Linked DNA regions of Saccharomyces cerevisiae S288C. Changing the gene in region 1 together with any one later gene gives a genetic interaction. Each region holds a gene or a part of one and is shown on either strand. Other genes may lie near its edges.

Region 1 (5,877 bases):
AGAATACAGTAAGGAGACATTCAGTAATCAAGTCTTTGGATATGATATTACTAGCCTTAAAAAAAGATTCACGCAACTATTTCCTAGTAATATACAAGGGTACTTACCTGAAGTTGACCTAAGAATAACCATTATTTGTTCTATATGGTACGTCACGTCATCTATTTCAAGTAACCTATCTAAAGCCATTTTAAGAACTTTCAACCATCCCATAGCTCTCACAGAATTGCAATTTCTTGTTAGTGCTGTTCTATGTGTTGGATTTGCTTCCATCGTAAATTTATTCCGACTACCTCGTTTGAAGCATACGAAGTTTTCAAAGGCACTCAATAGTTTCCCTGACGGTATCCTTCCTGAATATCTCGATGGCAATTTCAGGAGTTCTATCCTGCACAAGTTTTTAGTTCCCTCAAAGCTGGTTTTGATGACCACTTTCCCTATGGGAATATTCCAATTTATTGGTCATATCACATCGCACAAGGCGGTATCTATGATACCAGTATCACTAGTGCATTCCGTGAAGGCATTATCCCCAATAATAACAGTTGGCTACTATAAATTTTTCGAACATCGTTATTACAATTCCATGACTTATTATACCTTGTTACTTTTAATTTTTGGCGTTATGACTACTTGCTGGTCAACACATGGCAGTAAGAGGGCTTCAGATAACAAAAGCGGATCTTCATTAATCGGGTTGCTTTTTGCCTTTATTTCCATGATAATATTTGTAGCACAGAATATTTTTGCAAAGAATATTTTAACCATCAGAAGGAAGGTAGGAATACTGCCGTCTTCTTCTACGGATGACGTCACGTCGAAGGAAGGGCAACCGAGTCTAGACAAAACAAGATTTTCTCCATTGCAAGTGGATAAGATTACCATATTGTTCTACTGCTCCTGCATTGGGTTTTCTTTAACCCTATTACCTTTTTTAACCGGCGAATTAATGCATGGCGGTAGCGTTATCAACGATTTAACGCTAGAAACAGTAGCCCTTGTAGCGATTCATGGAATAGCCCATTTTTTCCAAGCAATGCTTGCTTTCCAGTTGATCGGTTTACTATCTTCCATTAATTATTCGGTAGCAAACATCATGAAGAGGATTGTTGTTATATCCGTGGCACTCTTTTGGGAAACAAAGTTAAATTTTTTTCAGGTGTTTGGTGTTATCTTGACAATTGCCGGATTGTACGGTTATGACAAATGGGGGCTTTCCAAAAAAGATGGACGTCAGGCATAATATGAAGTAATACTATTGAGTACAAACCATCATTCAAGGTAGGACACTTAGTACTATATCAAATATATAATCAAAAAAAAAACCCTCGAAGGTCTTTTTTATCTTATTTACTGCTACTACCTCTGTTGCTAGCATTACTTCAAGATCCTAAACTGTTACCCCACCCCCGCACCATATCAAGGTTAAAAATCCGATGTGGCGGTACTTATTTGGTTATTTATCTCATTTACATTAATATGCGTACGGGAATGGCCTTCCGCTCCGTGGAGGATAAAGTGCGGTCATTTTATTATTTTTCGAAAACAATGGCTACAATCCCTTGATTATCTCACATGCGATTACAAAGCAAAAGAGAAGATTCGCATGCAGGAGCCATACACGCGTCTTTTTTAAGGTATTTCCACGATCTCGCGGAAAAACTTATAGAACGAACAACTATTGCTTTAACTAGGAAAGAATAAGAAAAAATAGCGATCATACTAGAACCCACAGTCGAGGCACAAGGATTTTGAGGATTGCTCTACCCCTAATGCCTATTGCTTCGATTGCTGAAAGCGGATCTACTCCTTTTTCCAAGTACTCGAAAGGTTGAGAGAAATAAAAATAGACTAGTCGACGGACAATGCCAATAAAGTTTGGTTATACGAACTGCTTTAACCAAATTAATATTGGACAGACTCCGTGTTTTTTGGTTTTGCCCTTTTTTCCCGCTAGAACGACATTGTGTTTCTCCAAAATTATTCCATCTTTTCCCTCGTGTTAACAATAGAGTCACAACGCACCTGTTATTATGATCTCGGGGGTGGCTTCCCGAACATCGTCGGTTGAATACTGCGCTTTGGCGTCCGAAAAAGAAAAGATAGGAAAGGATCGAATTTTTGACATTTTTCTCAACCTGCTGCGCGCTGTTCTATAGACGTTTGAGGCACCTGAAAAAGAAATACAGCGGAATAATTACTGTTCTGCTGAATCGCCCTAGGCGGTATTGTATGAGGCTAATAATAGAGAGACATCTCTGAAAAGAAACTAGAGGAAAATTTTTCAAAAATATCTATTTTGCTCAGAGAAATGAATATAATAAAGAAGCTATTTGGTTAGATCTCCCAGTAGTTACGGGGACTAGATATATAAACTGCTTGATGTACGTTTGGAAATTCTCAAATAGCAATTCTCTCTTCAAAGTTAGTGAAGGATAGGTTATATCTGTAAAAACATACTAAGATCTGAATAACTAAGATCACGGGGGCATACTATCGATTAAAAAGCTCTGATTTTACTATAGATTAAAAAGAAAAATAATGAGCTCAGACAGTTTAACGCCTAAAGACACTATAGTTCCAGAAGAACAAACCAACCAACTGCGGCAACCTGATTTAGATGAGGATAGCATACATTATGATCCAGAAGCTGATGATTTAGAGTCATTAGAGACTACTGCCTCTTACGCGTCAACGTCGGTGTCGGCAAAGGTGTATACCAAGAAGGAAGTAAATAAAGGAACTGACATTGAAAGCCAACCACATTGGGGTGAAAATACCTCGAGCACGCACGACAGTGACAAAGAAGAAGATTCCAATGAAGAAATTGAAAGCTTCCCGGAGGGTGGATTCAAGGCTTGGGTTGTGACATTTGGTTGCTTCTTGGGTCTAATTGCATGCTTTGGTTTATTAAACTCAACGGGGGTCATAGAAAGTCATCTACAGGACAATCAATTATCCAGTGAAAGTGTTTCTACCATTGGTTGGCTGTTTTCTTTGTTTCTTTTTGTTTGCTCTGCCTCATGTATCATTAGTGGTACTTACTTTGATAGAAATGGATTTAGGACAATTATGATTGTGGGCACGGTTTTTCATGTAGCCGGTCTGTTCGCTACCGCCAACTCTACTAAATATTGGCACTTCATACTGTCCTTTGCCATTGTCTGCGGGTTCGGTAATGGTATTGTACTGAGTCCCCTAGTAAGTGTTCCCGCCCACTATTTTTTTAAGAGACGTGGTACTGCATTGGCAATGGCCACTATTGGTGGTAGTGTGGGTGGCGTCGTTTTCCCAATTATGTTGCGTAGTTTCTTCTCTATGAAGTCAGACACTGATCCAACTTATGGATTTGTTTGGGGCATTAGAACTTTAGGATTTTTAGATTTGGCTTTGCTAACTCTGTCAATCATTTTAGTCAAAGAGAGGTTACCACATGTTATCGAAAATTCCAAAGATGGTGAGTCACGTTGGAGATACATACTCAGAGTTTATATTCTGCAATGTTTTGATGCGAAGGCTTTCCTGGATATGAAATATCTTTTTTGTGTCCTGGGAACGGTATTTAGTGAGTTATCCATTAATTCAGCTCTTACTTATTATGGATCATACGCCACCAGCCATGGAATTTCTGCTAATGACGCCTACACCTTGATTATGATTATAAATGTCTGCGGCATACCCGGGAGATGGGTTCCTGGCTATTTGAGCGATAAGTTCGGTAGGTTTAACGTCGCAATTGCAACTCTACTCACTCTATTTATCGTCATGTTTGTTGGTTGGTTACCATTTGGTACCAATTTGACAAATATGTACGTTATTAGTGCCCTATATGGATTTTGTTCTGGAAGCGTTTTCTCCTTACTTCCTGTTTGCTGTGGCCAGATATCTAAAACGGAAGAGTTCGGTAAACGTTACTCTACAATGTACTTCGTTGTCGGTTTCGGTACTTTAGTCGGCATTCCGATAACAGGTGCCATTATCTCTATCAAGACAACGGCCGATTACCAACACTATATTATTTTTTGCGGTTTGGCAACTTTTGTAAGCGCTGTTTGCTACATAATTTCGAGAGCATACTGTGTTGGCTTCAAGTGGGTCAGATTTTAAAAAGTAAGACAGTGCCCTTTATAGATCTTCAAAAAAGTAATGCAATAATATTTTCTTTTAGGAAATGTGTAGATAGACTATTTAATTAAAATTTCCTTATGTTTTTTTTTTTTTTTTTATTTTTCCGAATTAAAGTCACTATTTTTGTACAACTTCAACTTCAGCCATTCAGAAATCTTGCAATCTTGCATTAACGTAGAGGCGTATGAATTCTCGTAATAATTAATTAGTTTTCCTGAATTGATTAAGTCAAAGTGCCCGTCAGTCTTCTCTTTCAGCATCTCAACACGTAAATATATCAGAGGAAGCGTGATGTTATTGATAAGATTTAAGGTATCTTTTGTTAACATATGAGGGGAACACATAATGCATACTGTTTTGTTGCGTTGACTATGTGATACTAGTGAGGTGAATGTTCCTACTAACTCACGGAATTCTCTAGGAGATAATTTTGATTTAGTGAAAGCCTTACATTGGACTAGTACTTTCAATGGTTCAAAAGTATGGTCGATTATCCTATACTTTAAAGGTTTCAATACGAAGCCATTTTGCGAGTTCGTTCTTTTTATGTTACTAGCCATTTCCAAATTGGGCATTAACGATGAAATTTTCCAATAAATATCATCTACTGGCCAGCTTCCCTTTATGTCTACGCCACCATCATGGGCGCCACCGGTTTTTCTCAACTTTGTCATTCGTAGTTTCTCAGATAACTCCCTCATCACCGTATATTCATAAAGATTTCCTTGAAACACCGTAGAATGGGCGACAGCAGCATTTTGTTTCACATATGCTTGAATTGCAGGATTATTGAGCCATCTTCGTCCCAAATAGTTTTTTATCATGTTTTATCATGTTTTACCGTTCTTTACCGTGTTTTATATAGGAAGAAGCTTTAGAAATTTGCTGCAGTATTTCGCTTCCTGGTCGTTAATTTCTATGTATCGATCAACCATGTTGTTTTGCTTTTCAGTTGGCCTCGATAAATAATTTGAAAAAAAAAAAAAAAAAAAAAAAACTAGCAAACCAATGAAGCGGCTTGGCTTACAGGTACATTTTACCTTAGCGCTAAATGATATTGTAAATGTGACTTGCATCTTCTGAAGGAGCACTGTAATGAGTACTGAAAAACTGGAAGCTTCGGAGGAACCACAGGCTCCCTTGGCCAATACATCTGAGACTAACTCAATAAAGGGAGATACAGAAAATATTGTAACCGTGTTTGACCTGGCAAATGAAATAGAAAAATCACTAAAGGATGTTCAGAGGCAAATGAAGGAAAATGATGATGAGTTTTCACGCAGTATACAAGCAATTGAAGACAAGCTTAACAAAATGAGTCGGTGAGAGCAGGTGAGTAGTAACATGGAAACTTCTAATGCTTTTATTCATAAAAAAGAAAACGCGTGCTATCGCGTAACTAGGTTGCAATTAACTACAGATCGTGCCAAATACGTGCTTTTTTATATGGTTTAGAAATATTAATCAACTGAAACTTAATAATATATTCGCATGTTTTTGGAGTCTCTGGGATAGCACTTCACCTATCCTTGGAAACTTGAAATGGAGAAGTTTTAACTAAATGACTTTTTTGGCAATTGCTCTCTTATAATTCAGTACACTGTTGTTAATGTAAGTTTGTAGATAAATACAATATGACAAGTATCAAAGCAGGCTTTAGTTTTCAGCAGTTCAATTATCTTAGAATGGATATGAATTAGTTAAAGCGGCTCGACCCAGTTAGACTTAATTTGTCCTCTTCATTCACCA
Region 2 (2,784 bases), on another chromosome or scaffold:
AGGTGAGAAGTTTACTTATCGTAAGAAGTAGCTTGAAAAGCGTACTGAAGAAGTACCTAATCATAATGTTCTAATTTTGTTTTATTAGTCGTGGTGTTCTTTTCTTTTTGTTTCAGCGTCGTTATTTAAATTTTATGTTATGGCCAAAAAAAGAAAGTTTCTAAAAATAAATGAAGAAAAGGATACAACTCAAAAAGTTATCATATAAAAATACTAAAGTAGGTCTGTTCAGATATTTCGTTTCTGAATTTCTTCTAATACACAATTTATACGTAATTTAGTAGAATTTCTGCGGAGAACCAAACTGTGCCAGTTCTTCCAATATATAGTTTTCCGGATTATTATTCATTCCCTTTCCATAGAACAGTAAACTGAAAAAAAAAAACGTCTTAGGAAAAAGGTGGAAAAGGAAAGAAGAAAATAAGAATGAAATAGAAGGAGAACAGAAGCAGAAAAAGCATGAAGGCGTCGCACATTTGCTCTTATTTGCTAAGCATTGCACCCCTAGTGGTGTCCCATGGAGTACATCATAATCGAGATCATGGCCACGAGGCAAACCATGAGTCCAAGCAAAGTTTCTTGATTTTGAAGCAAGAATCCATTTTTTACTCTCTAGTTTGCTTTCTGCAGAACCACCTCTTTGTCCTGGGACCCCGTTACAATGCGATTGTGGCTATCCTAATCATACAACTTATGCCGTGTCTTTTCGTACTGTTTGTTCCTGGACTGCGCAAGAACGATCGTGCCAGCTTGACACTGTCCTTACTAGTTTCCTTTTCTCTAGGAACACTCCTGGGTGATATTTTATTACACGTGATACCTGAAAGTCTCAGCGGCGTAACTGATGTCACAATGGTTGGAGGAGCCATATTTCTGGGGTTTATAAGCTTCTTGACTCTGGATAAAACGATGCGTATTCTGTCAGGGACGTCCAACGATGACGGCAGCATACATTCTCATTCTCATAGTCATACTCCACAACAAACTGCAGAGAAGAAAGCGGGCTTTAACATGTCTGCGTATCTGAATGTCATATCCGGCATTGCTCATCACATCACGGATGGCATAGCGCTGGCTACGTCATTCTATAGTTCCACACAAGTTGGCATAATGACCAGCATAGCTGTCACTTTCCATGAGATCCCTCATGAGCTAGGTGACTTCGCCATTCTGCTTTCCAGTGGGTTTACGTTCCCACAAGCGATAAGAGCCCAAGCGGTGACAGCTTTCGGCGCCGTCGTTGGAACGTCCATTGGCTGCTGGATGAACGAAATCGGGAACAACAGCCATAAAGCAACGTCTTCATCCGCGAACGCATCTGAACTTATGCTGCCGTTCACGGCGGGCGGCCTCATATACATAGCCACTACTAGCGTTGTACCGCAGATCTTACATAGCTCCGCACCCGATAGCAAGCTTCGAGAGTTTAAGAAGTGGGCCTTGCAGCTAGTCTTCATTTTTGTAGGATTTGCCGTTATGGCGCTCATGGATGAGCATTGATTCAGCTTTGTATTACTTGGCGTGCAATATACGTACCTTTATAGTAAATATCCTTGTTGCCTTATATGGTACCGACGCTTCCCCGGATTTCAATTAAGGCAAAAACAGGCGATAATCAGATCAGATCAAACATTTATCTCTGACCTAATACAAAAAAGAAACACAAACAAGAACAGTATTGATCGGTTTAAAGGCGTGCACAACTGTTTTAAAGATGTCCAATTTTTTACTTGTGATCCCTGAAGACGTGATCAAGGGCTGCTCCAAGGCAGATAAACTAGTTGTTACAGGAGAATTCGATAACTGGAGACATTCCGATTATGTTCTGCAGTATGACGGCAGCACACAGAACTACAGGGTGCAAATTCCCAGAAGAAAGGGCCAACGTAGCACCATGTTCAAAGTGGTGATAAACGACAAAAAATGGGTCACTCTCAACTACTTCGACACTGTCACAGACAAGTCAGGTTACACCAACAATATTCTCCACTTTAAGGACAATGAGGCCAGTCAACTCATGGATATACCTCTATCACCACATACACGGTCCAACACCGCAAAAGGGAAACCGGAAGACGACTCTTTAAATGATTATGTCAACTTGTCGTCACATAGTGACCTAAGCAGCACAGAGGAGATAGTGTGCTGGAATTCTGATATGGAGGACGAAAACATGGATGCAACCATCCAGTGTGATTTCCATCAGGCGTTCAATAGCAGGAAAGAGTCTCTAAATGGGCTAATGTGCATTGCCAAGAAAGTCAAGACGTACTGGAACAAATAGACAACTTTTTCAAACATGTTTCTTTTATGACAAATATATATATTTCAATTTTCTCTTTTCTATCTAGCTATGGTTTAGATATACATATTTTTAATAGATTTATTCCTTTTCACTTATATCACAAGGTGAGCATCTCATTTCGTGGAATAATCATCGCTGTTAGCCGCCGAGGTACACAGGCTCCAACAGACAACGGCAAAAGATCTGGCATTATTACTGCTTATGTAAAAGAGGAAGATCAATTTAAAAAAGGAAAAGGAAGGGGTTTGCGTATTGGTACATTGCAAGCAACTAAACGTCTAATCGACTCATCCTACGAAGCTCTGTTTTTAAGCATTTATTGTCTATCCTCATCAAAGCAAAGTTTCGTAACGAAAAAAAAAGCAGCCTGCTACCGATAGGAGAGTAAATTAAGGTCAGCTAGACGATTAGCACACAAGTTAGATAGTTGTGCTTTATCCAGCACAGCATGAAGTAAAGCTCGTACTTATCCTGCCTAG

What was found. A genetic interaction does not mean that the proteins touch.
Region 2: mutations in MCH5 (region 1) and ATG45 together harm fitness more than expected from each alone (negative genetic interaction), as found in Saccharomyces cerevisiae (one large-scale study listed by BioGRID).

The regions. Positions count from the first base shown.
Region 1 is NC_001147.6:888,097-893,973, reverse strand, and holds MCH5 (riboflavin transporter), read left to right. Parts: upstream 1-2,541; coding exon 2,542-4,107; downstream 4,108-5,877. Other genes in the region: SLY41 (Sly41p), read left to right, coding at 1-1,243; RRG7 (Rrg7p), read right to left, coding at 4,224-4,952; BIL1 (Bil1p), read left to right, coding at 5,224-5,454. UniProt on the Saccharomyces cerevisiae protein: Riboflavin transporter involved in riboflavin (vitamin B2) uptake. Does not act in the transport of monocarboxylic acids across the plasma membrane.
Region 2 is NC_001141.2:308,102-310,885, reverse strand, and holds ATG45 (Atg45p), read left to right. Parts: upstream 1-1,714; coding exon 1,715-2,284; downstream 2,285-2,784. Other genes in the region: Zn(2+) transporter YKE4, read left to right, coding at 460-1,500. UniProt on the Saccharomyces cerevisiae protein: Autophagy receptor for glycogen that facilitates the sequestration of glycogen assemblies into autophagosomes as part of bulk autophagy; the autophagy of glycogen (glycophagy) is stimulated during prolonged nitrogen starvation and during sporulation.